Macaca fascicularis: one gene and its partners. The protein of the gene in region 5 purifies or fractionates together with the protein of the main gene of each other region. This does not show direct contact. Links are inferred from orthologs where the notes say so. Each region holds a gene or a part of one and is shown on either strand. Other genes may lie near its edges.

The links.
Region 1: the proteins of SOD1 (region 5) and TKT purify together in Homo sapiens (affinity purification with mass spectrometry; 3 studies listed by BioGRID, with this or other methods). This does not show direct contact. The link is inferred for Macaca fascicularis from reciprocal best matches to the Homo sapiens genes SOD1 and TKT.
Region 2: the proteins of SOD1 (region 5) and PRDX5 fractionate together in Homo sapiens (co-fractionation; 3 studies listed by BioGRID and IntAct, with this or other methods). This does not show direct contact. The link is inferred for Macaca fascicularis from reciprocal best matches to the Homo sapiens genes SOD1 and PRDX5.
Region 3: the proteins of SOD1 (region 5) and HEXB purify together in Homo sapiens (affinity purification with mass spectrometry; 3 studies listed by BioGRID and IntAct, with this or other methods). This does not show direct contact. The link is inferred for Macaca fascicularis from reciprocal best matches to the Homo sapiens genes SOD1 and HEXB.
Region 4: the proteins of SOD1 (region 5) and ENO1 fractionate together in Homo sapiens (co-fractionation; 3 studies listed by BioGRID, with this or other methods). This does not show direct contact. The link is inferred for Macaca fascicularis from reciprocal best matches to the Homo sapiens genes SOD1 and ENO1.
Region 6: the proteins of SOD1 (region 5) and PARK7 purify together in Homo sapiens (affinity purification with mass spectrometry; 4 studies listed by BioGRID and IntAct, with this or other methods). This does not show direct contact. The link is inferred for Macaca fascicularis from reciprocal best matches to the Homo sapiens genes SOD1 and PARK7.
Region 7: the proteins of SOD1 (region 5) and PRDX2 fractionate together in Homo sapiens (co-fractionation; 3 studies listed by BioGRID, with this or other methods). This does not show direct contact. The link is inferred for Macaca fascicularis from reciprocal best matches to the Homo sapiens genes SOD1 and PRDX2.

Annotation. Positions count from the first base shown.
Region 1 is NC_088376.1:116,356,366-116,359,865, forward strand, and holds the end of TKT (transketolase), read right to left. Parts: intron 3,019-3,500; coding exon 2,935-3,018; intron 2,809-2,934; coding exon 2,715-2,808; intron 1,563-2,714; coding exon 1,440-1,562; intron 684-1,439; coding exon 508-683; 3' UTR 404-507; downstream 1-403. UniProt on the Homo sapiens protein: Catalyzes the transfer of a two-carbon ketol group from a ketose donor to an aldose acceptor, via a covalent intermediate with the cofactor thiamine pyrophosphate.
Region 2 is NC_088388.1:10,075,291-10,079,297, forward strand, and holds the start of PRDX5 (peroxiredoxin-5, mitochondrial), read right to left. Parts: upstream 2,801-4,007; 5' UTR 2,792-2,800; coding exon 2,618-2,791; intron 1,279-2,617; coding exon 1,144-1,278; intron 380-1,143; coding exon 248-379; intron 176-247; coding exon 137-175; intron 34-136; coding exon 1-33. Other genes in the region: TRMT112 (multifunctional methyltransferase subunit TRM112-like protein), read left to right, coding at 3,491-3,568, 3,648-3,749, 3,865-3,954. UniProt on the Homo sapiens protein: Thiol-specific peroxidase that catalyzes the reduction of hydrogen peroxide and organic hydroperoxides to water and alcohols, respectively.
Region 3 is NC_088380.1:78,673,900-78,677,903, reverse strand, and holds the start of HEXB (beta-hexosaminidase subunit beta), read right to left. Parts: upstream 2,801-4,004; 5' UTR 2,730-2,800; coding exon 2,431-2,729; intron 1-2,430. UniProt on the Homo sapiens protein: Hydrolyzes the non-reducing end N-acetyl-D-hexosamine and/or sulfated N-acetyl-D-hexosamine of glycoconjugates, such as the oligosaccharide moieties from proteins and neutral glycolipids, or from certain mucopolysaccharides.
Region 4 is NC_088375.1:225,996,234-225,999,733, reverse strand, and holds part of ENO1 (alpha-enolase), read right to left. Parts: intron 2,746-3,500; coding exon 2,544-2,745; intron 1,992-2,543; coding exon 1,883-1,991; intron 1,593-1,882; coding exon 1,534-1,592; intron 11-1,533; coding exon 1-10. UniProt on the Homo sapiens protein: Glycolytic enzyme the catalyzes the conversion of 2-phosphoglycerate to phosphoenolpyruvate. In addition to glycolysis, involved in various processes such as growth control, hypoxia tolerance and allergic responses.
Region 5 is NC_088377.1:15,217,673-15,221,660, reverse strand, and holds the start of SOD1 (superoxide dismutase [Cu-Zn]), read left to right. Parts: upstream 1-1,188; 5' UTR 1,189-1,265; coding exon 1,266-1,337; intron 1,338-3,988. UniProt on the Homo sapiens protein: Destroys radicals which are normally produced within the cells and which are toxic to biological systems.
Region 6 is NC_088375.1:226,919,773-226,923,845, forward strand, and holds the start of PARK7 (Parkinson disease protein 7), read right to left. Parts: upstream 2,801-4,073; 5' UTR 2,733-2,800; intron 1-2,732. UniProt on the Homo sapiens protein: Multifunctional protein with controversial molecular function which plays an important role in cell protection against oxidative stress and cell death acting as oxidative stress sensor and redox-sensitive chaperone and protease.
Region 7 is NC_088393.1:13,188,668-13,192,657, forward strand, and holds the start of PRDX2 (peroxiredoxin-2), read right to left. Parts: upstream 2,801-3,990; 5' UTR 2,740-2,800; intron 2,271-2,739; 5' UTR 2,262-2,270; coding exon 2,159-2,261; intron 2,064-2,158; coding exon 1,910-2,063; intron 1,293-1,909; coding exon 1,170-1,292; intron 989-1,169; coding exon 858-988; intron 1-857. Other genes in the region: THSD8 (thrombospondin type-1 domain-containing protein 8), read left to right, coding at 3,072-3,219.

The DNA of each region.
Region 1 (3,500 bases), on a different chromosome or scaffold from region 5:
GGACAGTAAGCAAGTGAACCTCTCTACCCTGAGACCTGACTGCAAGGCTGTGGGGACTTGGGGGAGGTGGGGCAGCCCTGAGAGTGCCCCGTCAGCTTCCAGACCGAGCAGTTCCCCAGCCCCCTCAGGGCTGGGCGGACTGAGGTCACAATGAGGGATGTGGGTCTCAGCCTCTCAGCAAGAAGGCAGGTTGCAGTCAAATGTCACCTGGTGATGAATGGGAGGCAGTGATAGTTCTGGAGGTTAAGGGCAGTTGCAGGTGATTCCAAGGGGACTTGGGACACCCAGGTCCTGGCCCAGGGCCAAGGACACCAGCCTCCCTAGCGCACCCTCTACCCTTCTTCCCCAGAACCCACACTGGCTGCAAACACATCAAAGAAGAAAACATTTCAGGGCCAATTCATTTTTCTCAAAACATATATTTACCCCTCCTCTCAGTACATCTTTGAGCACCTTTCCCAGAATCTCAGGAATGTATAGACCCCCGCCCCACACTTCATACCCGCCCTAGGCCTTGGTGATGAGGCCCTTCACAGCTTGTGCAATGGCATCCTTGTCAATACCGAACATCTTCAGCAGCTCAGCTGGCTTCCCACTTCTTGGTACCCGGTTAACTGCCAAGTGGGTGACAGTGATGCCAGGCTCGCCCACTACTGCACTGGACACAGCCTCACCAATGCCACCTAGAAATGAAAGGAGGGGAGTCAGACGAGGCCTCAGGGTGAGCAGTGGTGGGCCCAGCCCTGTCAGCCTTAGTCAAGGATGGAGGAAGCTGCATACGCACCGCCTTTCTCCACCTGCAGCCACGAGCCCATCACATAACTCATTGTTTTTATTGTTTTAAAGAGTCAGGTTTTGCCACGTTGCCCAGGCTGGTCTCCAACTCCTGAGTTCAAGAAATCTGCCATCCTCAGCCTCCCAAACTGCTGGGATTACAGGCGTGAGCCACCACACTCGGCCCAAAACTATTTTTATAGGCCCAAACGTGGCCTCTAAATGTTTGTTTCAAACACCATCCTCTGGCCAGCAACTGTCCATAGTCTGATTATCTAGATTTGACCCCAGAGTCAAAGCCCATCTCTCCCACTGGGGCCTCCTCCTTAGAGAGGCTGGTGTGTACTTAGGGAGCCTGCTGTGTGAAGGACTCACCACTACCTCAGGGACACCACCATCCACCATTTAGCAGCGAGGCTGGAATCCTCGCCAGCTTCCTGGGCAGCAGGAGCTCCACAGAGCTCACCAGCAGCTGTGCGTTAGCTGGGTCTCCAGGCCAAGCCTGAGGCCTGTTAAGAGACCACGTCCCAGCTGCTCTAGAGGGACAGCTCTGGGGGTTCTGGGCCACCGCTGCCCTCCTGGGGCTCAGACAGAAGAGGCACGTCCAATGCTCGGGCTCTCTGGCCCTGCCCCTTGCCCAGCTTGCCTGCCCCAGGCCTCCTTACCTTCGTAATAATGGTCCTCCACGGTGAGGATCCTGCCCTTGGTGGCACGAGCGCTGTCGAGAATGAGTTTTCTGTCCAGCGGCTTGATGGTGAAGGGGTCCAGCACGCGGATGTTGATCTTTTCTGTGAGGGAGAGCATACGGCATGGCTGAGGGGAGGGCTGGGCACCACCGTCTGCCCTGGTGGGGGCCTGGTGGGACATCCTGAGGACTGCGTTTAGCTAAGAGCTCAGCCTGCGGGCCTGTCCCTGTCCCAGGGAGAACCACTTGCCACCTTGTTCCCATGGCTGAGCTTATGCCTGCCAACCCCTTGCACTGGGGCATCTGGTCCAGCTGTGTTGCCTGCAGTATCCAAGAACCCAGAGTGGAGTGTGCAGGCCCTGAGCGCCTTCCCTCATCCTCCCACAACCTCGAAGACAAAGGGAATGCGAGAGGACACACTCCAGGTATCTGGCCTGACAGAAGGTGAGGGTTGATGTGGTGATGTGGGGGAGCTGCAGCCAGCGGAGTGATCAGAGGCCCAGGTGCAGCCCCAGCAGCAGAAGCACCTTCTCAGAAGGACAAACCCACGCCTGCCAGGCCCTGCTTAAAGCTCACCCCACTGGATCTCCCCCTGCCTGGGGATGGGGTCCCCTGGCTCCTCCAGCCCCATCTTGCTCCTGCCTGGCCCTGCTCCGGCCTCCCTTTACTCCCCTCTCTACCGATCAATTCCTACCCACTCTGAGGCCACTTTCTGGAAGATGCCACACCTGCCCGCTCTTTCGTGCTAAAACATGACATCTGTTGTGTGATTCTATTGCAGGAGAGGCCAATGCCTGTCTCCCCTACAAACCACTAGCCAACACTGTGAGCTCGCAGTAATAATAATAGAATACCAGGTCACATGCATGTAACCCTCAGGACAGCCCTGCGGGGAAGGGGCTAGTATCTCCATTTTACAGATGGGAAAACAGGCATGGTGATAGGTAGGGAATAACTTCCTTAATTAGCGTCTGGCTGAGTGATTCCAGCCCTGCGGGCAGGCTCCAGGCCACTGATCTGACCACCGTGCTGGGGGATCTCTTAGAGTCATAGGGTAGGGACTGTGAGCACTGCAGTCCCGGGACTTAGCATCATGTCAGACAGAACAAGTGCTCAAAGGATGGCTTTAATTACCATCATTATTTAATTAAATGAAATTCTTTCTCTTTAGCTGTGAGCTCTTCAAGAAAGAAAGAACCCCAAGACCTAGCATGCAGTGGCCATTCAGTTGATGACTTTGGAGGCCCCTTCTCACCTTTCCTCAGCAACTCGGCGGCAGCCAAGGCCTCATGCAGGGTCACCCCAGCCCCGATCACAGTCACCTGGTCATCCTTGCTCTTCAGGACCACCTGGGGGTGACACAGAGGGCAAGTGAGGCTCAGGGCCTCGGGACAGGGTGGGCCCTGACTGCTGGGAGTCACAGCAGGGAGGGTCCAGGCAGCTCTGTGGGCTCCTGGGGCATGTGAGGCACTGACCTTGGCTTGTCCGACCTGGAAGTCCTCATTGTTGTTATAGATGATAGCATTTTCTGGGCGGCTGGTCCGGATGAAGCAGATACCCTGAGACGGAAACAGATAAACTGAGGATACAGGATGTGGCACACCCAACCTCAGAGACGAGGTCTTTCTAGAGAGGCCATCCCTTCCCATGGGAGCGTCAGTCACTGCATCCTGGCTACTCCAGCAGGGAAAAGGGCCTTGCTTGCCCTCAGCCGCCCGCACCCCACTTGAACACTCTGAGAACTGCCCGCCCCTTGCAGCCCCAGGCCGAAGGCAACTTTCCACCAGGTAAACTGGCTGCAGGTGGGCTACTCCTGCAGCGTGCACCAGGCAGAGGGGCAGGACCATGTACACTGTGTCTATGGAGTGCAGCTCCGGGCCTGGACCACAGGGCTCAGCTCATCCTTGCCTGTCTTGGAGAACCCAACTCAGGAGGGTGGACAGGTGTCAACCGCCGGACCGGCCAGGGCTGCCAGGATTCTCAGCGGAGACAGACTGTGGCAATCAGTTGACAACGTCTGCCACGTGGCAGTAAGTGGGGC
Region 2 (4,007 bases), on a different chromosome or scaffold from region 5:
CACTAACGAATCATCTAGTAATAAGTCTGTCTCCTAAGAAGAGACAGAGAAAAGTATCAGAAATCCCTGAAGAGGCTAAGGGCCCCCACTGCTCCCCACACGACCATGTTCCTGTGGTGGTCAGGGGAACACTCACCTTCCCAAAGGCCCCAGTGGGATCAGCCAGGAGCCGAACCTGCAGAGAAAGGAAAGGTCACAAGAAGAATATCCTACCTGGCCCTGACTCCCTGCAGGCCCCACACCTCACCTTGCCTTCCGCCTTGTGGGCTCGGCCCCACTCGCCAGTCACAAAGGCATCATTAACACTCAGACAGGCCAACACCTGGACTCCCTTGGCCTTCAGAGCCTCAGCCTGCTCCACAAACCCTGGTAGGTGGGTCTGGGGAAGGGGAACAAAGGGTTGGCAAAGTGATAACTGCATCTGCCCCCTAGCCCACCCTTCATCTCCAGGCCCTCCTCACTGCTCTGCCTCAACACCTTTGATCAGACAATGAGAGTTGTCTAAACCACTCTATTTCCTTTTTGCCTTGGCCACTAGGAAGCTCAGAATGAAACCTAATGCCTTATGGTCCAGACGTGAACTTTCCATGGGCAGAACTATGTCTTAGTTATCTGAGTTCCAAGCACCTTCCAAAGTGCCTGTCATTTAGCAGGACCAACAGGGGTGTTGGATTTAATTGCAATATGTTTTTCTTCAACATTCCTGGTACTGTTCCCTTTTTGCAGTCTCTATTTTTTTTTTTTTGAGACGTAGTCTCACTGTTTCGCCCAGGCTGGAGTGCAGTAGCACAATCTCCACTGACTGCAACCTCCGCCTCCTGGGTTCAAGCAATTCTCTGCCTCAGCCTCCCCAGTAGCTGGGATTACAGGCACTCGCCACCACGCCTGGCTGATTTTTTTGTATTTTTAGTAGAGACAGGGTTTCATCATCTTGCCAGGCTGCTTTTGAACTCCCAACCTCGTGACCCACCAGCTTGGTCTCCCAAAGTGCTGGGATTACAGGCGTGAGCCACCGCGTCCAGCTCTACTTGTTTTCTGATGGCACTGAAATGCTTTTTAGGAGTCCTGTCAGGACTATGTGGACGACTTAAGAACAACACAAGAGATCCCAGGTCCTGATCTTCAGAAGGGGAAGGGCCTCACCTTGGAACATCCAGGCGTGAAGGCCCCGGGAACTCCAAACAGCACACCCTTCTTGCCCTTGAACAGCTCTGCCAGGTTCACCTTGTTCCCTGGCTCCCCTTCAAACACCTCCACTGCAGGGATGGCATCTCCCACCTAGAGGGAAGGACTCCAAGGTAAGGGGGGTGAGGGAGCGGGGCAAACCATAGGCAGGAAAGTGAACAGAGCGCCTGGCAGCCGGGCCTTCAGGAGCCGGGGCTGAAACCCAGCAGGATGCTCCAGCCCTGTCAGAGTTTCCAAGGGCCCTCCCTGCCCGCTCACACCGGGTTACCCCATATCCTCTAGGTTTCAAGATGGCCCTGCTCCTTTTAAGGGGCCATTGGTGACAACAGAGAAAGGGAGGGAAGGCTTCCCCTAGTGTCACAAAGGGTTACATAACATGCTGTCTGTTACAGGAAAGGAGTGGAATAAAATGGGCAGGGGCTAGAGGGCTGTATTTGGAGGTGAGGAGGAGTCCCTGACAACATGGAGGGAGAGGATCTTGGGCAGGTCTGAGGGTCCCACCCTCAAGAGGAGAAAGAGGGAGGGCAGCGGCAGGTGGAACACTGGGGGAGGCTGTCCAGGCCCCTACACCCAGGAGGGGTACAACAAAAGAAGGAATCTTTTGAAGGGGGAAGGATCCGCCCCTGGAGTATGTGAGGGCTTCATGGGGCCAGAGTGGGTAGGGAGAGAGAGTCTGAGGTGGTGGAGTCTCTGAGGAGCCCAAAGGTTGGCAGCAGGATGAAGTAGAAAGGGAATGGGGTCTCACAGGGTTTGGGAGGAGAAGGGGGAAGGTCCAAGACCCCGGGGACGGTTCCAGGAGGTGAGTGAAAGACGAGCAAAAAGGTGGGAATTCGCCATGGGAGGAGGGGAGGGCGGAGCGGGATGGGGGAAGCCCCGGCGGGGGCACTAAGGGACAGCTGTTTCAGAAGATATGGGAAATCAGGCCAGGAGCGGTGGCTCACACCTGTAATCCTAGCACTTCGGGAGGCCGAGGCGGGCGGTTCACCTGAGGTCAGGAGTTCCAGACCAGTCTGAACAACAGGGTGAAACCCCGTCCGTCTCTACTAAAAATACAGTAGCCGGCCGTGGTGGCTCCCACCTGTAGTCCCACCTACTCAGGAGGCTGAGGCAGTAGAATCGCTTCAACCCGGGAGGCGGAGATTGCAGTAAGCAGAGATTGCGACACTGCACTCCAGCCTGGGCGACACAGAGGGACTCCATCTCAAAAAAAAAAAAAAAAAAGAAACAATGCCTCGGAACTGCCCCGGGAGGTGAGGTCCCCACGATTGGCGAGAAGGGTGGGCAGCCACGAGGGCCTTCTGAAGGGATGAGCGGGGCGGCCGGCGGGGAGGGGTCTGGCAGGCAGGAAATAAGGCGATATTCCCAGACCAGCGCGACGGGGGTTGGCATGGGGGTAGTGGGGGATGTCAGGCCCGGCCGGGCCAGCGGTCACCTTGATCGGGGCCATGGCTGCAGCGGTTCTGCTGAAACTGCGGACCCCGCCAGACGCCCACCCTCCTTCACTTCGCCGTCTTGCTGCTGCTGTCGCTGCCACAGACTGACCGGCGGCCCCACCGAGTATATAGCCCGCTGAGCGTCTCAGGACGCACACGCCGGCTAGTCCCATACCCGCCCTAAGACCACTTTCACTCCGCCCCCTAGCTGGGGCCACCGCAGCAGGCGGGGCACGGCTGGAGGCACTGCTGCGACACCCTGCGGAAGGCGGGCCTGGGCCGCCTCCACTGCGCAGGCGCGAGCGGCCACGCGTGTAACAGAGCTTCCGGGACCCTCGCCTCATTTGCCTTGGGGGCTAGCTGGACAGCAGACGCAATTACAAATTGGGCAGAGCTTTCGGCATTGGGGCAGCTAATTTGCATATAAGAATGAGGTGCCGCTCGGCTTCCACGGGTCTAATTTACAGATAGGGCAGTATTTCTGCCCCTTAGCCGAAAGCGGGGTACAGAAGACGACGGTGTTAGGCGCCTGTGTAGGAGTAAAACATGTTTATTTTGCATTCAACGAGAGCCCCTGCATTGCAGCTATTTTGCATATGATTTGCATGATACGACGGATTTGTGCAAAAAAAAAAAAAAAGCTGGGCGTGCGCTGTAGGAACCTCCTGCTGAGACGCTTCCGGTAGTGGCGCGTGACCCGACAGGTCTTTCACTTACCTAGCTCAGCTCCCGCAAGCACGAGAATTTCCAGTAAGTTCGCCACTTCCGGTTCTCCTGGCCAACCAATAGCATCGAGTGGAGCATCCCCGGAAGTGACGAAGCGGAGGACGCCCTCTTTCCGGTTCCGGCCTGACGAGAGCCTGTTCGGCGATATGAAACTGCTCACCCACAATCTGCTGAGCTCGCATGTGCGGGGGGTGGGGTCCCGTGGCTTCCCCCTGCGCCTCCAGGTACCACGGCGGGCTTCCCTTTTCGGGTGGGATGGTGGGCCAGGGTCCAGTGCTTGCCTAAACTCCTCCGCCCTGCCAGGCCACTGAGGTCCGTATCTGCCCTGTGGAGTTCAACCCCAACTTCGTGGCGCGTATGATACCTAAGGTGGAGTGGGCGGCGTTCCTGGAAGCGGCCGATAATGTGAGGATCCTTACCCCGCCCGAGCATATCCCGGGGAGTGCGGGGCGGGCACACCTCAGCCGGGCTGAGGCGGGAGTTCGGGATGCCCGGAGATAATTTCGCCTCTTGCCCACAGTTGCGCCTGATCCAGGTGCCTAAAGGGCCGGTTGAGGGATATGAGGAGAATGAAGAGTTTCTGAGGACTATGCACCATCTGCTGCTGGAGGTGAGAAGCGGCCCATCACTTGCTTCCTGGGCCACCTGCCTCCCTCACTGAGG
Region 3 (4,004 bases), on a different chromosome or scaffold from region 5:
ATAAAAAAGATCAGATAAGCTTCAGGACAATTGTTTAAATATTTTACAGATTTTGGCAAGCCAGAAGGTTATATATGCTACTTATGTGTAAGAACATCTTACGCTTTTTCGCAGAAGAGGAGGTTGGAAAATTGTGACATGTTTGGGAGTGTATGGAAGTTAACCAATGAGAGAATGGAATGGATGAAGGTGTTGACAGAAAACCTTGACAGATTAAAAAGGAAATTAAGATCACTGAAATACATACTTACAAAAGGTTAAGATGGTAAATTTTATATTTTTTCCATACTTAAAATTTTTTAAAAAAGGAAATTAAAGCTGCCAACAGCTTCGAGATCAGAGTTGGAAACTGGCTTAGAACCTTAACCCTAGGTAGTAAAATTCTAACAGAAAACTCAAAGGGCTGTGAAGCAGTATGTCAAAGGTATGTGGGTTAGTTTAGCCTTCCAGGAAATGAAGGAGTGAAGCTATTTGTTTATTTTTTAAAATGAGTGACTAGCATGTGATGGACGCTGTCCTAGAAGCTGAAGAAGCAGCTATGCACCTAACAGCTGAACTCTCTGCCTGCAAAAAACATACTGTTTCAAAGCAGGGTTTGTGATACAACTTGGGCTCTTCAGAGACAGGGGCTATGTGATTCTGAACAATCTGGGGCCCCGGCTGTGTGTTCCTGACCACGTCACACTTTCTGAACACCCCATATTTCCAAATCTTTCTAACTCCACTGTGCTTTTACTCTGAGATAGCTACCGCCCGTGCTGAGCTCCTAGAATGCTCACATGCATGCCTTCACGTCTTAGCCATAAGGGCTAATACATTTTATGACCTGCTTCCTAATAACGCCAGGCATAATTAATGGCTGCTCCACTCAGAGACCATGAATTAGGCAAACTCTTCAGGCAGTCACCCGCACCTGCCTTGAAATGCCAAGCCTTGCCTTCAAATCATCTCAGCTGATTCAAGTCCTGGTTATTTACCTATTGTTAACTTACATCACCTATGCTTTCTTGTCATCGTCAGTTCAGCGTATTACCAAGTCCTTGTTTTACTTAGCAGTATGACACAGAAGGAAAATCCAATTCTACAAGCTGAACTCCAAGGCAAACATAATAAAGGTGTTTGTTTTTAAAAGATTTCCAACCCTAGTCGTGATCTTCTGAGACAACCTTCGTGTACTTTCCATGCAATCTTTCTGAATATCCCAATGCAACCAAACACTTTGATTCTACATCTTAACCCCCCTCTGGCCTTAGCAGATTGGATACCAAAGGCTCATTAGTGTGTGTGCCTAAAATAGGGACTGATAATACCCATTTAGTTGTACAAAACAGAAGGAAACCGTGAGCCTTCTGATTGTAGAGAATGAACCATCTCTGCCATCAACATCTCCGGCCTCTTCAGCTTGAGCCTAGGCACCTGTCCTATCTGGGGTCAGAACACGTTATTCAGTTAGTTTTGCACTTCCTCCCCACCTGTTCAGTGTCCTGCAAGCACACTTAAGCTCTATAGTATCTACTGGGCACAGAGACAGGCTTGGGGAATGCCAGGAGGCAGTACAGTTAGCACCAAATTACAGTTCTGCGGGGCACGATACGCCTTCAGGACAGTCCTACCTACACAAGTCTCACACTGAAGGGACAGTGTGTGGCTTCTTCAAACATCTCCCCAGGGGAAACTGTCTTGTCTACTGTGTGATTGGCTGACTCCCATGACAAATTTCACCCTGTCCGCAGCCAAAGGGTGAGGGAGACAGAGGCGCTATCTAGGGCTCTGTAAAAGAGGAAGCAGGGAGAGCAGGCACATGATTGGTGTTGAGAAACAAAGTTGGATACTGTCTAACCACTGGCTGCAGAAACGTAGTTAGATGCAAACATCTCACATTTTATGTGGAAGAGATTTTAGGTGAGAGGGGAGTTTTAGGCAGTGCTCGAAACTGAGGACTTCCGCCATTTGAGTTATTACCAGGAGATTTGAGGAGAGGCAAGAGGGTGAAATTGGCCTATAAATGACAGTCAGCTTTGGGGAATTCCTGGTCCCTCAAGAGAGCTTGTCTAAGCCCTTCAGGTAACTTATCCCTTTGAACGTCCTTCAAATAAGGAGCTGTCACTTTCCTCCCCAGCTCTGGAGCTGGGGAACCGGGTGTCCCCTCCATCCATGTCATTTGCCCAACAAGGCCTCAGAGCAAACTCCCTCTTCCACTTAGTATCCTGCTCTCAAACTAGGGTTCCTGAGCACCCAAGGTGTCCCTTAAGAAGCAGTAGGAGGGTGGGGGCAAGAGCGTGGGTTCAGTCCGTGTGGCGCTGGGCAGATCGCCTGCCCGCTCCGGGGGCCGTTTCCTCGTCTGCGCAGTGGGGTGGTGAGGGTCTGCAGAGCGCCCCGGGGTGGTCCACCTCCCCTCCCCCAGGACACTTCCCGGCCGGGAGCCCTCACCGCCGAAACGCTTCCTCCAGCAGGGTGCAGGAGGGGCCCGCCGTGGAATTGGGGCTGTGGCTGATGTAGAAGTTCTCCGGGGCAAGATGCAGCAGGTTCGGGGTCATCTTCACCGAGAGCGGCAGGGGCCACAGCGCCGGCCCCCGCGCGGCCGAGACGCCCGGGGCCCGAGTCGCCTCCGCCACCTGCACCACGAGCGCCACCTGAGTCAGCAGCGCCAACATCGCCGCCAGCAGCGTCGCCAACAGCAGCGCCAGCAGCATGGGCGGCCGGGGCAGCCCCAGCCCGCACAGCTCCATGGTCGCTCAGCTGCTTTCCGAGCTGAAGCCTCGGGATCCGACTTTCCGCCCGGCCAGGTCAGAGGAAGCGCGGCCGCGGGTGAGTCACCGAGTCAGATGACGGCGCGCCCCGCCCCCGACTCCGCCTCCAGGCCCCGGGCGCGCCCTCGCCCAGCCCGCCCTGCCCAGGCCACCTCGAGAATTTCCTCCGGGCTGCCCTCGGGTAGGAGCAGAGCCCAGACAGCAACCTCAAACACGGGATGGCTAAAATAAGAAAAATGCCCGGTGCTGGCCGGACGTGGCGGCTCACGCCTGTAGTCCCAGCACTTTGGGAGACCGAGGCGGGCGGATCACCTGAGGTCAGGAGTTCAAGACCAGCCTGGGCAACATGGTGAAACTTCGTCTCTACAAAAATACAAAAATTAGCCGAGTATGATGGAGGGTGCCTGTAGTCCAGCTACTCGGGAGGCTGAGGCAGGAAAATCTCTTGAACCCGGAAGGCGGAGATTGCAGTGAGCCGAGATCGCGCCACTGCACTCCAGCCTGGGTGACAGAGCAAGACTCCGTTTCAAAAAAAAAAATAAAAATAAAAATAAAAAAATAAAATAAAAAGAAAGAAAGAAAAAGAAAAGTGCCCAGTGCACAGGCTGGGGATGCCAGCCCGGCACCAGGCCGCCGCCCGCTCACGCTGGCGACACTGGCGCTCTCCTTTAGGTCCCTGGCTTTGGTGAAGCTGGAGAAGCCAAGCTTGGGGAGCACTTTTCTCCTCTCAGCTCAACCACCAGATAACTGATGAGAGCTGAGTTTATTTGCTCCTAGGTTGAGGCTTTTCTGTAATGGCATTTCAGCTGTAGTCAATAAAGCCTTCCCGTCAGAACTCCTTGGGGCAGAGCATGCCCAAGAAATCCTGAGAGAGAACTCTTGGCTTATCTGTGTCGATCCCGATAAAGGATCCCAACTGACTAGTTTGATTTCATAACCCATCCCTAAGAAAGAGCCAGTGAAGTCACATGACCAACACGGACTGGCCATGCCAAAGGGAGAAGAGGTGTTCTCTTACTAGAAGGAAAAAACGCTAGGCTGACCAAAGCCACAGATCTGCTCTAGTAAGTATTCTGAAAATGAGGGTGGAAGAGCTTTAAGGAAAGACTTCAAAAAAAAAAAAAAAAAAGGAATGATTAGGCCGGGTGCGGAGGCTGACACCTGAAATACCAGCACTTTGGGAGGTGAAGGTGGGTGGATCACAAGTTCAGGGGTTCGAGACCAGCCTGGCCAACATGGTGAAACCCCGTCTCT
Region 4 (3,500 bases), on a different chromosome or scaffold from region 5:
CTCTTCAATTCTTGGGAAGGAGAAAGATAAAAAGATGGGGAGGAAAAAAGAAAAGTCAGACCTCAAGTTGTAAGTTTTCCCATCCTAGATGTGGTCAGACACAGCCCCACTCCTGGGAAGTTGAGAACACAGAATCTGTCCACCTTCTTCAAACCCTCTAAACTTGTGCTTCTCTGAGAAGCCAGATTTGGGAGGCCAAGGTGGGAGGATCACCTGTGGTCAGCCTGACCAATATGGTGAAACCCCGTCTCTACTAAACATTCAAAAAAGATTAGGCAGGCATGGTGGTGGGCACCTGTGATCCCAGCTACTTCGGAGGCTCAGACAGGAGAACTGCTTGAACCTGGGAGGCAGAGGTTGCAGTGAGCCAAGATTGCACCGCTGCACTCCAGCCTGGGCGACAGAGCGAGATCCGTCTCAAAAAAATACAAATAAATAAAATTCCGCAGCAAAAAAGAATGGAAGTCTGAAGCTATGACTGCCCCACTGCACTCCAGCCTGAGTGACATGGCAAGACCCTGTCTCAAACAAACAAAATAACAAAAAAGCCCTGTGTCTACTGTTCACCTGCTTCTTTGTGTGTGTATGAAAATTCCCAGGATACAGTTTTAATGAAGGGGTAATAGGGGAGAACTTAGGAAATGGGTGTTGTTTCCCTACAAGTCCAGAAAATAACTAAAAAGGGGGTTTGTATCCCAGTGGTGCCTGAGTCAGTGGGGGAGTGGTATATTATAATATTGGCCGGGTACAGTGGCTCACGCCTGTAATCCCAGCACTTTGGAAGGCTGAAGTGGGCGGATCACCCAAGGTCAGGAGTTCGGGACCAGCCTGGCCAACATGGTGAAGCCCCATCTCTACTAAAAATTACAAAAATTAGCTGGGTGTGGTGGTACGCCTGTAATTGCAGCTACTCGGGAGGCTGAGGTGGGAGAATTGCTTGAACCTGGGAAGCGGAGGCTGCAGTGAGCCGAGGTCGCACCATCGCACTCCAGACTAGGCAACAGAGCGAGACCTCATCTCAAAAACACAAAAACAAAAACAAAAAGTGGGTGGCGGGGGGACCGGGGGACAGGGGGACAAGTCTCCTGGTGTTCAGGGGCTTCTCAAGGACACAGACAGGAAAGGGAGACCAGAACAGCCCCACAGCACTGAGAAGTGGAAACCCAGCCATGTGCCCTTTGACTTTTTCCTCCTCTCTCCAAGCCCTGGCTCCATATCCAAAACGGTTAAATGTGCTGAAACAGATCATGAAGGGGCTCTCTGAAAGCTCTAAGAAAGTCATGGATCAGCTGTCAAAGGGGGTCCCAATCTCTCTTACGGGAAGAGGGCAGCACTGTGCGGAGGAGGTTTCTGCCTCTGATGGCACTGCAGGGGTTGGGGTCTAGGCCTGCTTAGGGCCTGGCTGGCTGCACTGTGCGCCTGCCCCTGTACCTGTTCCCAGAGCCAGGAGCTCCTGGGGGAGGGCAGTGCCTACACTGAGTGCAGCCCCAGCGGGTGAACCACAGGCCCCTTGTTCTCCAGAGCCCTCCTTACCTGAGGAGCTGGTTGTACTTGGCCAAGCGCTCAGATCGGCAAGGGGCACCAGTCTTGATCTAGGAGAAAAGAAAAGCCATTTGCTTATAGTGGACAGGCTTTGCAGGCATTTCTGGCAGGGAGAGGGTGTGATGTCAGAGAGAGAATTTCTAGAGGATCTGAGCCTAGGAAAGGAGGGGCTACAACATACAAGCAGGGCCCTCATGCCCCCATTCTGTTCAGGCTCAGAAACCAGGACAACAACTCAGCGGACATGAGCAAAACAGGGACAGACACGGATCTTCACTGGTTTTGGGTCTTCCAGCAAGTTGAGGTCAGAGAGAAGAAAGGAGGAGACGCTCATTCTTACCTGCCCAGTGCACAGCCCCACAACCAGGTCAGCAATGAAGGTATCTTCAGTCTCCCCAGAACGATGAGACACCATGACGCCCCAACCATTGGCCTGGGCCAACTTGCACCTAGAAGCCAAGAGACAACCTGGATGGCATGACCCCATTTTCTGGTGCCACAAACCCCAATGCCATTACCCCTCGGTGCCAGCAGGAAAGCAGTGGAGGGGCTGTTAATGGCTAAGGCTCTCCATGCCTGGGCTCTGTCAAGAGCACAGAGGACAACCCTCACCCTCCTCTGAACTCTTCCACCCCCAGGACCTTCTTAGCCCTCTTCATAGTTGAAACACTGGGTTCAGCCTCCCTTGATGGGAGAAAGACTAGTGTTCTCTGACTGAGCTCTTCACAGAATACATCTGCTTGTTATGTTGCCCAGGCTGGTCTTGAGCTCCTGAGCTCAAGTGATCCTCCTGCCTTGGCCTCCCAAAACGTTGGGATTACAGGTCCAACATTTTGGGCCTGTAATTTAAAAGGGTCCCGAGTTCAAACACAAAACCTGTTAAAATCCCAAGGTGTCCTACATTCTGGCCAGCAGGATTCCCCATCGACAGAACAAAAGGGCCCTTTTCTGATTCACAAGCCGTAGCTGCGGGAAAGCTGCTTGCCTGGGAAGACACTTACGCCTGAAGCGACTCGGTCACGGAGCCAATCTGGTTGACTTTGAGCAGGAGGCAGTTGCAGGACTTCTCGTTCACGGCCTTGGCAATCCTCTTTGGGTTGGTCACTGTGAGATCATCCCCGACTACCTGGATTCCTGCACTGGCCGTGAACTTCTGCCAAGCTCCCCAGTCATCCTGGTCAAAGGGATCTTCGATAGACACCACTAAGGAGAGGAGGTACACGCCTCATCAGTGTGATCCTCCCAGTGTGCTCCTCTGCAACGCCCAGCCTTGCTTCCCCCTAGACTTGCTGCTCGCCTGGCCTCACACTGCCCAAAATTATAGGACAGGGATGGCTCCCCAACTGATCCTTGAAACAATGTGCCCCACCAACCTACTCCTGCAGCAGGGGACAAGTCACCCACAATCCTGGGTCAATAGATCTAAAACAAAAAATCTCACTCTGTCACCCAGGCTTGAGTGCAGAGGTGCAATCATAGCTAACTGTAGCTGCGAAATCCCGGGATCAAATGATTCTCCCACCTCAGCCTCCTGAGTCGCTGGGACTACAGGGGTTTCCCACCCATTCAGCTACTTATTTTAATTTTTTTGCAGAAATGAAGTCTTGCTATGTTCACTAGGCTGATCTCAAACTCCTGGGGTTCAAGTGATGCCGTTTTAGTCTCTCCAAGCGCTGGGATTCCAGGCGTAAGCCACTATATGCCCAGTCTCAAAAAAACTTTTTAAGACCTATATAAGAAGAGAACACTTATTTGTCTAGGGTGGTTTGAGTTTAGTGCCACTGAAAATCAGAATGGAGCCAAAGACTCAGAAGTGAAAAGACCTGAGTTTGGGTCTTGGCTCAACCTTGACTAAGTTGTTTAGGGTAGTGGTTAAATGCACAGACTCTGCAGTCAGATTTCCTGGTCTGAATTCTTGCCCCACTATTTGCTGTGTGCTCTCGGGCAGATTATTCAAC
Region 5 (3,988 bases):
GTTTCACGCTGGACTTGAATTAAGTCTGAGTATTTTGCCATGCTCAGTACGAAATACTAGGCTGGACGTGGTGGCTTATGTCTGTAATCCCAGCACTTTGAGAGGCCGAGGTGGGCAGACCGCTGGCTTGAGCTCAAGAGTTTGAAACCAGCCTGGGCAACATGGTAAAACCCCATCTCTACCCAAAATACAAAAATCAGCCAGGTGTGGTGCCACATGCCTGTGGTCTCAGGTACTTGGGAGGCTGAGGCAGCAGGATGACTTTTGAACCCAGGAGGTCGAGGCTGCAGTGAGCTATGATCGTGCCACTGCACTCCAGCCTGGGTGACAGAGCAATACCCTGTCTCAAAAATCAAATAAACAACCCCTTTGCCCCGGACAAAAGTAGTTTGTACTATTTTCTCATTTCATCAAAGTTTTTGAAATATTTCCCTTGAAAGGTAAGTCATATTTATCATTCCTGTTGTATGGAGACATCACAAATTATTTCACCATTCTACCCTCCTTGAGTGTTGTGGCCTTGGGGCCAGGCAAAAACGCAGGAGATGCCTAGAAGCCAACTAGTTGCCGTTTTGGTTATCTGTGGGGTTGTAGCGTTGCCAAACAGGAAAAATATAAAAAGAATACCGAATTCTGCCAACCAAATAAGAAACTATGTGCTAAGGACTAAAACAACTGCAGGGGAAGAAAAGGTGAGGCCAGGGATTGAGGTGTAGCGACTTTCTATGCCCTCAGAAAATTAAAAAACAAGACAAAAAAAAAAAGAAAACTACAAAAGCATCCATCTTGGGCCGTCCTAATTTCTGAGTAACAAATGAGATGCTGTGGCGAAAGTCAGTCATAACCAATGACATTTCTAGACAAAGTGACTTCAGATTTTCAAGGCGTACCTTGTTTACATCATTTTGCCAATTTCGCGTCCTGCAACCGTCGGGCCACGCCCCCGTGAAAAAAAGGCTGTGTTTTTTTCCATTTCGGGGTTCTGGACCTTTCCCGGCTGCGGGGCGGGGGGAAGTCTGAGGCGCACGCGGCCCCTTGGCCCCGCCCCCAGTCATTTCCTGCCACTCGCGTCCCGAGGCTGCCGCAGGGGGCGGGCTGAGCGCGTGCGCTGTGACTGGTTTGGGGCCAGAGTGGGCGGGGCGCGGAGGTCCGGCCTATAAAGTAGTCGCGGCGCCGTGATCCCGCTTTGCGGCATAGTCTCCTGCAGCGTTTGCGGTCAGTCTCGCAATATTCGGAAGCAGGACCGCGGCGTGGCCTAGCAAGTCATGGCGATGAAGGCCGTGTGCGTGTTGAAGGGCGACAGCCCAGTGCAGGGCACCATCAATTTCGAGCAGAAGGCAAGGGCCGGGGCGGAGGCTTGTTTGCGAGGCCGCTCCCGCCCGCTCGTCGCCCCGAGCACCTGTGCTAGGAGCGGGTGGCCAGCCAGGCCTCGGGACCGCCCTGGTCCCGCGCCCGGCCTCGGGCCGCGCCGCCCGGTCGGTGCCTTTGCCCCCAGCGGTGCGGTGCCGGCTAAGTGCTGAGTCATCGGGCGGGCCCGGGTGCGGGGTGTGCGACCGAGGCCGCCGCGGGGCTGGGCCTGCGCGTGGCGGGAGCGCGGGGAGGGATTGCCGCGGGGGCGGGCGTGGGCGTGCTGCCCTCCGGGGTCCGTGGGCGGCCGCCGCGGGCTCTGTCGTGGTGCTTGGAGCAGCTGTGCTCCTCCCTTGCTTGGCTGTGTTCTCGTTCCTGAGGGTCCCGCGGACACCGAGTGGCGCAGTGACAGGCCCGGCCCGGGGTGGCGACTGCGCCTGGGCCCGGCTGGTGTCTTAGCATCCCTCTCCGCGTTCCAGCTTCAGCGCTCTGGGTCAGGGAGTCTCCGCTTTTGTACAGCTCTAAGGCTAAGTATGGGTTTTATATTTTTAAAAGGCTTTGGTAAACAAAAATACGCAACAGAGACCGTTTGTGTGACACTTTGCAGGAGTTTGTTGGCCTCTGTTCTAGGTCATGGTTGGGCTGCAAGGGCAGAGAAGGTAGCCTTGGATAGAGGTCCTTTTCCTCCTCCTAAGCTCCGAGAGCCAGAGTTTTAACTGACCGTTTTGGGGACTTTCGAGGGCGATGATTCTTAACTTTGGGTGCACAGTTAGCTTATTTGAAGATCTTACTAAAAATACACCAGAGCCCAACCTCAGACCAATTACATCAAAACCTGTCCCAGCGCAGGTGATTATTGCTGTTTTTTAAGTTTCCAAATGTGATTTTGATGTGCACCTACGATTGAGGACTGTTGTTTGAGGACAGTGGGTGGGGTTTGGGATTTGGAAATTGGAAGACCTGAAGTTTCCATTACACGGAATTGGTACTTAGTAACTCTTGTCGGAGCATTTCTTAAGCCACATTTTCTGTGAAGTGGCTTTAAAATTGCTCTGCCAGTAGGCAGGTTGCTAAGATGGTCAGAGACAAACTTCTGAACGACTCTTGTAAAATGTACAGAAATATTTTCATAACTATTATCAGTAAAATTGCAAAACGTCTTGCAAGGAAGGTGCTTGTGATAACACTGTCCCCCAGAGCCTTAGTGAAGTTACCAACTGGTGGAAAATTGTCTCGTACTCGGCTTAAAAGTCATGAGAGAATATTTATCATATGAATGAGATTCAGTCTTTAAAGGTGTTTACAGAAAGGTGAGAGGACAGGAACAGTTAGTCTGTGCAAGTGTCTGAAATGTGTATGAGGGAGATACGAGTTTAGCTTTTTTCTTTAATACGTCTCCAGATTTTCTGGAAAAGGTTCTTTGGCATTTGACTCCATTTTGCTGTTTCATTTGTCAGACTTCGTTTTGTCCCTCTTTACTTATTCCCACATAATTCACTAGTACTAGTGTTGTGTTTTGTTTCTGAGACCGAGTCTTGCTCTCTTGCCCAGGCTGGAGTGCAGTGGCGCGATCTCGGCTCACTGCAACCTCCGCTTCCTGGGTTCAAGCAATTCTCCTGCCTCAGGCTCCCGGGTAGCTGGGATTACAGGCGCGTGCCACCACGCCCAGCTAATTTTTTGTATTTTAGTAGGGACCGGATTTCACCATGTTGGCCAGGATGGTCACGATCTCTTGACCTGGTGATCCACCCGCCTCGGCTTCCCAGAGTGGTGGGATTACAGGCGTGAGCCACCGCGCCCGGCCACCAGTACTAGTCTTAAGACGCCTCTGTGGAATTCCTTCTCCCTGGCCTTTGAGAATCCATGCATGAACCCAGGTTTCTGTCATTTTCCACCTTCCCTGAGCAGCGTGCATAGTTCCTTCTTTTAAGCGCCTGACTTCGTTTTGGTTGGTGCCCCTTGTACCTGAGAAAGAGCCTTGGATAGTGGAGCATTCCAGCTTTCCAGATATGCAGAGATAATAAATTGGCTATAAACTACCTGGCGTGGCCTATTCCGTGTTTAAAATCTTAGACTCGTGGCTAGTTTTTACAAATCAGAATCTTTCACCTAATAGTCCAGTTTTCCTAGCTTCTCTTGAAGAATTGTTGGAGATCTCTTCATACTGAGCCTTCATTAGCCCAGGACAGTACTGCTGGAGCTTTCCAGGCCTGTGTTACTCACTTGAGTTCACAGCCTGGTCCCTGTAGGGTTGTACCTAAGCACAGCTACTTACATGTTCCCAATGTATTACCCGTTAAATGGAGGTTTGAAAGAACCTCCTCTTTTTGGCCCTGTGCTCTTGATAACACAGCATATTTGAGGGACAACTTTCACATTTGAGTTTTTCCAAAATTAGAGGTTGTAGAAGAGTCACAGTGTCTATTCTGAAAAAGAAAAGAATTTTTAAAAGGCCGCAATTGCCAGAATCCTTCGTTTGAGCAGTGGTATTTTCCAGTGGAAAGTCATGTCTTAAGGGTTAATGCCCCTTAACTGTTGTCCCTATTTGAAAACCAAGCTAAAAACAAGAGACACAAACATGTATGACGGTGTGGTGTGGATGATGTGTTTATTTTAGTCCTGAGATCTACTCGTAACGTCC
Region 6 (4,073 bases), on a different chromosome or scaffold from region 5:
ATCAAGACCTGAAATGGACCACAGTCAGCATTAATTCTTACCAAGTGAATACACTGCACGGTTTGAAAAAGTCAAGTATTACTTGTGGCAGATTGGATTATTTTTCAGAATTAGTCACTCCCCTTCCCCCTGCATGGGTGGAGTCTACGTCCTGTCCCTTGATTTTGGGTTTGGCCTTGTTTTGGTCCATGGAATGTGAACAGACACCTGAACAAAGCCTTGAAAAGTCTGCCCTGATGATTAGGTTGTGCTCTTATACTGTTGAATTGCTGTAGGAAGAGCTTTTCCCCCAGGCAAGTTGCTGCTGTTCCCTCAACCTGGGTTTCAGAATGAACATGTGGAACAGAGTGGCCCCAGCCAACCTGCACAGCTAACAACCTGAAGCAGAGTTACTACAACCCAGTGGCAAACTGTAGCAGCCAGGTTTTGCTATGGAGCAGTAGTTAACCCATGCAGCAGCAGCCCTCTAACTCAGTCCTTCCCCTTAGCCCTGCTCCCCAGAAGCAAGTATTTTCAACTGTTTCAATTATTTCTTCTGGTAGTATATCAGTCTTTTGAAACAGTATGCTAATATTTTATTTCTCATTTATCATCTTTAGACCTTATATATTGACTTCCTGGCAGGTCTTATAATTTTCCTTCCACAGATGTGAAGGTTGAGGTCCAGAAGGGTGAAATGACTGTGTAAGGTCCTGCAGTCTTGGTCAAATTCAGATTACTGATGCTAAATTTCACACTCTACCCACCATATACTGTCTACCGATTAAAAGTCAGTTACACTCAAGACACTCTACAGTTCATGCATATTTCCCATCACACATAAAACCAAAAAAAATTTTACCAAAAAATACTGCTGTACTACTGACAACGAAGACACTTCTGAGTTCAGTCTCCAATTTCCAGGCAGAACCGCCCCCATCCTATCCACTACCTTTTTTTTTTTTTTTTTTTTTTGAGACGGAGTCTGACTCTGTCGCCCAGGCTGGAGTGCAGTGGCGCGATCTCGGCTCACTGCAAGCTCCGCCTCCTGGGTTTACGTCATTCTCCTGCCTCAGCCTCCTGAGTAGCTGGGACTACAGGCGCCCTCCACCGCGCCCGGCTAATTTTTTGTATTTTTAGTAGAGACGGGGTTTCACCGTGGTCTCGATCTCCTGACCTTGTGATCCGCCCACCTCGGCCTCCCAAAGTGCTGGGATTACAGGCGTGAGCCACCGCGCCCGGCTCCACTACCTTTTTAAATCAACATTTGACAACTCTTTATGCATCGCGGGAGGTACAAAGGAAGAAACTGCCGGTTTTATTTCTTTTTTAGAGACCGGGCCTGGCTATGTTGCCCAGGTTGGCCTCCACCTCCTGGGCTTAAGGGATCCTCCTGCCTCAGTCTCCCAAGTAGCTGGAACTACAGGTGTAAGCAACTATGCCTGGCCAAAAACGCCGTTTTTTCAAGGAACGTAGCTTCTCGTAGCAGTTGCAACTTTTAATGATGAAATATTGCTCTGCCTGTGAAGGTCACAAGGCAATAACAGAGAAATGGCGTTGACAGTGTTAGTAATAGCCACCCACAGCCATCTGGTCATCGTTCCAAAAAAACAACTCCCCTCAGAATTATCCTGATCTTAGCGGCAAAAAAAAAAACAAAAAAAAAAAAACAAAAAAAAAAAACAAAAAAAAACAAAAAAAAACAAAACTGCTCCCAAGTTATTGTTTTTCCATGGGTCGCTCTTAAATTTGGCATCTCATTAAGTAAACACTCTAAATCATTCTTGGCCGGGGCGGTGGCTCACACCTGTCATCCCAGCACTTTGGGAGGCTGAGGCGGGTGGATCACCTGAGGTCAGGAGTTCCAGACCAGCCTCACCAACGTGGCGAAACCCTGTCTCTACTAAAAATACAAAAAAATTAGCCAGACGTGGCGGTGCACGCCTATCGTACTGGCTACTTGCGAGGCTGAGGCAGGAGAATTGCTTGAACCCGGAAAGTGGACGTAGCAGTGAGCCGAGATGGCGCCATTGCACCCCAGCGTGGGCAACAAGAGCAAAACTCCATCTTAAAATAACATAAAATAAAAATAAAAAATAAATCATTTTCTATATTTCATCTAGAGAGAGCGCATCATTCTAGCATTTTGCCTTTAGTTATTTATTGCGTCTTCCCCAGTCCTGTGAACGCCGGGAGAACCTTCTTGTCTTGGTGGTTGCTGCATCCCCAGCATCTGTCACAGCCCCTGGCACACAGCAGATGCTGACCAAGTATTATCCTGCTTTTACCCTCTATTATTTGACAGCCTTCTTTATTGCTATAAATTAATATTTTACATTTGCAGAACTCTACAGTTTACAACGTGATTTCAACTAATTTCTTATTCCTATTTTAATCTTATTTCTCACGTCAAATTCATCTCACCGAACTACAAAATGAAGCAGAGGAGGAATCTGAACTGTAGTTACTGGGCATAAAGAAGCCCTCTGGGGCACTGAATAAACGTAGCTGACATCATCCCATAAAGGCCGGGTTCAGGCACGCCCTACAGAGGTCCGGCAGAAACGGCGAATTTCCCCTCTGGAGCCCCCGAAAGGTTAGGTCGGTGAGACTGGAGAAGAGTGGGCGAGCCCTGACATTTGAGGCGGCGCTGGCGCAAGGGGGAAATTCTGACACCGAAGTCTGTGAGGGGCCCCGGGAACGGCTTTGCCTCTGCGCCCACCAGTGTGAAAAGCACCCCCACCGTGGCCTACCAGACACAACTCCCACAGGACGCGGGAAACCGACCGGCTGACCCGCATGTCGTAGGTCTACTTCCGGCGGCCGCAGCACGCGGCACCCGGGATTGGCCGAGCCGGTGGCAGTGGGCGGGACCGTCGCGTGTTCCCAGCCGCTATCGCGGTCGCGTCGGAGCTTGCAGGTCAGATCCGTCGTAAATGCGCCGGGTGCTGCTGGGCTTGGCCTGAGAGTAACAGCCCCTAAAGGTCACTTCCTTTAGAGCGTCGCGTGTGGGTCTCTGCGCCCTGGAGTCGCTTTGCCTCAGCTACCTCGCCGACTTCCGAGGGGTGGGTACAGCCTGCCGGATGCAAGGCGGGAGGTCGAGCCCTTTGGCACCTGCTGGGGCCAGATTCGTCCTGGTGACCGCAGCCCACAGGCTCAGCAAAGAACGACGACGATTTGCCTGTTCCCATCCCGCGAGCCTTGGTGTATTGGGGAATCAGATGCAGTCTCTGATGGTTTAACCACCTCGTTGGTGGCTCATTGGAAAATCTGCAAAGCCCAGTGTGGAAGCAAGGCTGTGGCTTGGACAGCGTTTTCTGTTTGTTTCTCTCCGGTTGTTTATGGAAAACACTTATTGCCATCCCTTCCATGGCATCTTATTTCTTTTATTTTCTTTCTGAGAAGTAGAGACGGGGTCTTGCTATGTTGCCGAGGCTGATATTGAACCCCTGGACTCAAGCGATCCTCCCGCCTTGGCCTCCCAAAGTTTTGGGATCACAGGCATGAGCCACCGCCCCCAGCGAGCATCTTATTTCTTGAAGTGAGAGTAAGATCCCATTACTTAGGGTTTCAGTCAGGGGTTATCAAAAAGCCTTTTAAGATAACTTACTTGCAAATGTGAATAGCAATGCCTGCCCAGAGGTGAGTGAGGACCTAGTGAGATCTTACATAAAACACCAAGCTCAAAAGAGTTGAAATGTTGAGTCCTGTAATATTTCCGGTTATAATTCTCTAATTCCGTTTCCATAATGCTTTCAAATTCCAATACTTTGGAAACATACAGTGATCAAGGAGTTATGCCAGTATTTCTCTCAACGGGCAAGGCAAAATCCATATTCCACCCAGCGGTAGACACTTGAATGTAGCAAAACTTTTCTGGCCAACTCCCTATCCTTTACTGTATCCTAGAGATCCCTTCCTTATCTTGAGGCCCACCTACTCTGGAGGTTGGTAAGCAGTGGCTACACCCAGGATGAGAACTATATTCTGGTGACCTTTCGTATGTCTGTAGTTCTGTGAATCTGCTGAATTTGGCAGTGACTCCTATGTAGGGGATTAAAAGTTTGAATCCTGCTACAATGTGCTTCAACAAA
Region 7 (3,990 bases), on a different chromosome or scaffold from region 5:
AGTCTCGACCTCCCAGGCTCAAGCGATCCTCCGGCCTCAGCCTCCTGAGTAGCTGGGACTATAGGTATGCTTCACAAGCCAGGCTAATTGTTGCCCAAGCTGGAGTACAATGGTACGATCTCGGCTCACTGTAACCTCCGCCTCCCAGATTCAAGAGAACTCCTGCCTCAGTCTCTCAAGTAGCTGGGATTACACGCACATGCCACCATGCCCAGCTAATTTTTTTTTTTTTTTTTTTTTTGAGACGGAGTCTCACTGTGTCTCCCAGGCTGGAGTGCAGTGGCGTGATCTCGGCTCACTGCAAGCTCCGCCTCCCGGGTTCACGCCATTCTCCCGCCTCAGCCTCCCAAGTAGCTGAGACTACAGGCGCCCGCCACCACGCCCGGCTAGTTTTTTGTATTTTTAGTAGAGACGGGGTTTCACCATGTTAGCCAGGATAGTCTCGATCTCCTGACCTCGTGATCCACTCGCCTCGGCCTCCCAAAGTGCTGGGATTACAGGCTTGAGCCACCGCGCCCGGCCAATTTTTTTGTGTTTTTAGTAGAGACGGGGTTTCACCATGTTGGTCAGGCTGGTCTCAAACTCCTGACCTCAGGTGATCCACCCGTCACAGCCTCCCAAAGTGCTGGCATTACAGGCGTGAGCCACTGAGCCCAGCTCCTTTGTCCACCTTGGTTGAATGTCAGGAGTATTTGTCTCCTACCACACTAGAAACTTCCTGCAGACAAACCCCTGAGCTGAATCTTCTTTGGGGCCCTAACACCCATCTGGACAGGTCAGAGGACAGGCAGTGAATGTTTGCATGAGTGACAGAGGCACTGAGTATGTACCCATGTGTCATGTGTGTTTCTGCTCACCTTCTCCATGCTCGTCTGTGTACTGGAAGGCCTGGACCAGCCGCAGAGCCTCATCCACGGAGCGTCCCACAGGCAAATCATTAACAGTGATCTGGCGAAGGACACCCTTGCCATCGATGATAAATAGGCCCCTGAAGACATCAGGGTTCCCAGTAAGGAGCTGGGAGCTCCCACTGCCAGAGACAAGGAAGGGACTACCAACCACCCGCTGCTAGCCACAGGGCTGGGGGCAGAGAAGACATTGTACAGGAGTGGTTCCAGCTCCACAGGAATGGGGGGTCTCCATGAGCCGGGCTGAGGGTCCCACAGTACCTGTAGGCAATGCCTTCATCTGTTTTCAGCACGCCATAATCCTCAGACAAGCGTCTGGTCACGTCAGCAAGCAGGGGGATGTTCAGGGGGCCCAAGCCTCCTTCCTTCCGGGGGGTGTTGATCCTGGGAGTAGAGGAGATAGAGTTGGGGCCTCAGGATGCCTGGTACAGCCGGGTCCTCACCCTGTGGGCCCAATGTGATAAGCACTGGAGGCCAAAGATAAGGGGCTTTAAAGTAGGCTGCTGGGAGCCTCACCCACCCCACCCTGGGTTGGGTACAAGGACTTCCCACAGCTGGGAAGACTAAGCTTGAGAGGCCACGCTCCAGCTAAGTGGCTTCACATGTGCTTGTAACTTGCAGCATCACCCAGGAGAGAGCCCGTGTTAAGAGTCCCCGTCCTCCTCTAGCTGTGTCATGGGGTACAGCTCTTCACTTAGGTGAACCCGAGTTTCCATCTTTATGAAATAGGGCAGCACAGCCTCCCTCCTGGGAACTAGTAGATAGAGCAGATAAAGTTGCATCTGAGTTGCATCTGCAATTCTATGTGCCAAACAACTAGCTCAACTAGCTGCCAAATGCTAATTACTGCCATCCTTAAAAACTTGGGCGGCAATATTTCCATTATTTTCAAGATGGGGAAACGCAGGTTCCAGAGATTAAGCAATGGTCATGAAGCCACACAGCTCGGACCCGAGGGTGTGAGCTTAGCTGCAACCTCCTTCTCTGGCCCCTGCTCATACCAAGCCAGGTGGGTGAACTGAGAGTCCACCGAGACGCCCAGCACTTCGCAGCCCAGCTTGCGGAAGTCCTCGGCACGGTTGCTGAACGCGATGATCTCCGTGGGGCACACAAAAGTGAAGTCCAGAGGGTAGAAAAAGAGGACCACGTACTTCCCTGGGGAGGAGGGACCAAGAGGAGTTAGGGCCCAGCCTCTCTCATGCACGGCCCCGCTTCTGCTTCTACCTGGGTCCGCTCCGGGCTGCGCTCACCTTTGTAGTCCGACAGCTTCACCTCTTTGAAGGCGCCGTCAACCACTGCTGTGGCCTTGAAGTCAGGGGCTGGCTTTCCGATGCGCGCGTTACCGGAGGCCATGACTGAAAGCTGAGACCCCTGTCCGGTCAGTGCGCCCGGGAAGACCCTTTGTCCTCCCACCCCAAGGTCGCGCTGCGTGCTGGGCCCTGTGACTGAGTCAGCACGGCGGAGGCGACAGCACCAACCCTCACCCTCCCGGGTACCGGGTCTGCGAAGCCCAGAGGCTGCCGGAGACCCGCCCTCCTGACCAGAGCACGAGTGACCCAGCCACTGCCACTAGCACCCCACGAGCGAGTGGGCCGGAGCGCGGTGTCGCAAGCCCCAAGTCCAGAAGGAGACAGTGAGGCCCCCTCGAGCAGGGGGCGGGGAACAGGGCGATCGGGCCTGCACTGCAAGGCTGTGGCCTCGGTTTCCCCCGCAAGGACAAAGGAGGCCACTACAGCGGATGGAAAACAAAGGCGGCCAGCACTGAGGTCAGGATCCGGCCAAAGCAGCTTGAAGGGGGTCCTCCCGCCAGGTGCACTCTGTGTGTCTATACCTGCGTGGGCAAGGGCTAGACGCACGGACGATCACACGTGTGGACCCGCGTTCTCAGCGCCAAGTGAGCCCTGGGCCGCGAAGCCTTTTATGCCCGGCCCGAACCAAGATGTGCGCTGCGCAGGGGAGGGAGCAAACGAGCCGAGCGGTCGGGTCCACTGCACCCTCAGGTGCGGGGGAGCGTGCGGCCGAGTCCATGCGCCTGCGGGAGCCGGGGGGAGACGTGTTGCCTTCGGCCGGGACCACTGCACCGGCTCGCGGGGGTAATGCGGCCGCCGCAGACTCCGCGCACAACTCTCCCTGCGAGCGCGCTGGGTGCCGTTGGAGTCGGGCATGGCCCGGACCCCGGCGGCGCTGCTGCTGGCGCCTCTGCTACTCCTGCCGCTGGCGACCCCTGCCCAGGTCTACCAGGACTATCAGTACTTCGGCCAGCAGGGCGAAGGTGACACCTGGGAGCAGCTGAGGCTGCAGCATCTAAAGGGTAACCTCAGGCGGCGGGGGTGACGATGTCCATAGGCTCCCCGTTGCCCTACTTCTCCTGCTGGCTGCAAAGGGACCTTCCTCCGCGGGCTGCAAATCTCCACCCAGCTCTGCACTGGAGGCGTCCCCTTGGGCTGGTTACTGTTCTCTGAGGCTCGGTTTACTCTTGGATACGTTGAAATAGATACTGCTTTAAAGCAGCTCCCAGGGGAAGAGGGTGTGGGTAGGACATTGAAGCTGTCACTCGGGGATAGGTGCCAGGAAGGGCAGAAGCAGAGCAAGAAGGGGGCGGGCAAGCTTGGGAAGTCAGAGAGGGTCCGGTTGCAGAAGACCCGTGACCAGTGCAGCGAGAACGACAAGCGAAAACCCCAAATGGAAAGATTTGGGGAAAGAATGTCCAAGAAAGAGGGAATAGCAAGTGCCAAGGTGAAAAGGCCTAAAGGAGAAATGGGAAGAGGTCGGTGAGATGTGGCAGAGTGGGTGTGGGAGGGTAGCAGGTGTCAGATCTTGGTGAGCCGCGAGTTGGGATAAGATCGGACTTGGAGGCCTGGCGCGATGGCTCAAGCCTGTAATCCCAGCACTTTGGGAGGCCGAGACGGGCGGATCACGAGGTCAGGAGATCGAGACCATCCTGGCTAACATGGTGAAACCCCGTCTCTACTGAAAAACACAAAAAAACTAGCCGGGCGAGGTGGCGGGCGCCTGTAGTCCCAGCTACTTGGGAGGCTGAGGCGGGAGAATGGCGTAAACCCAGGAGGCGGAGCTTGCAGTG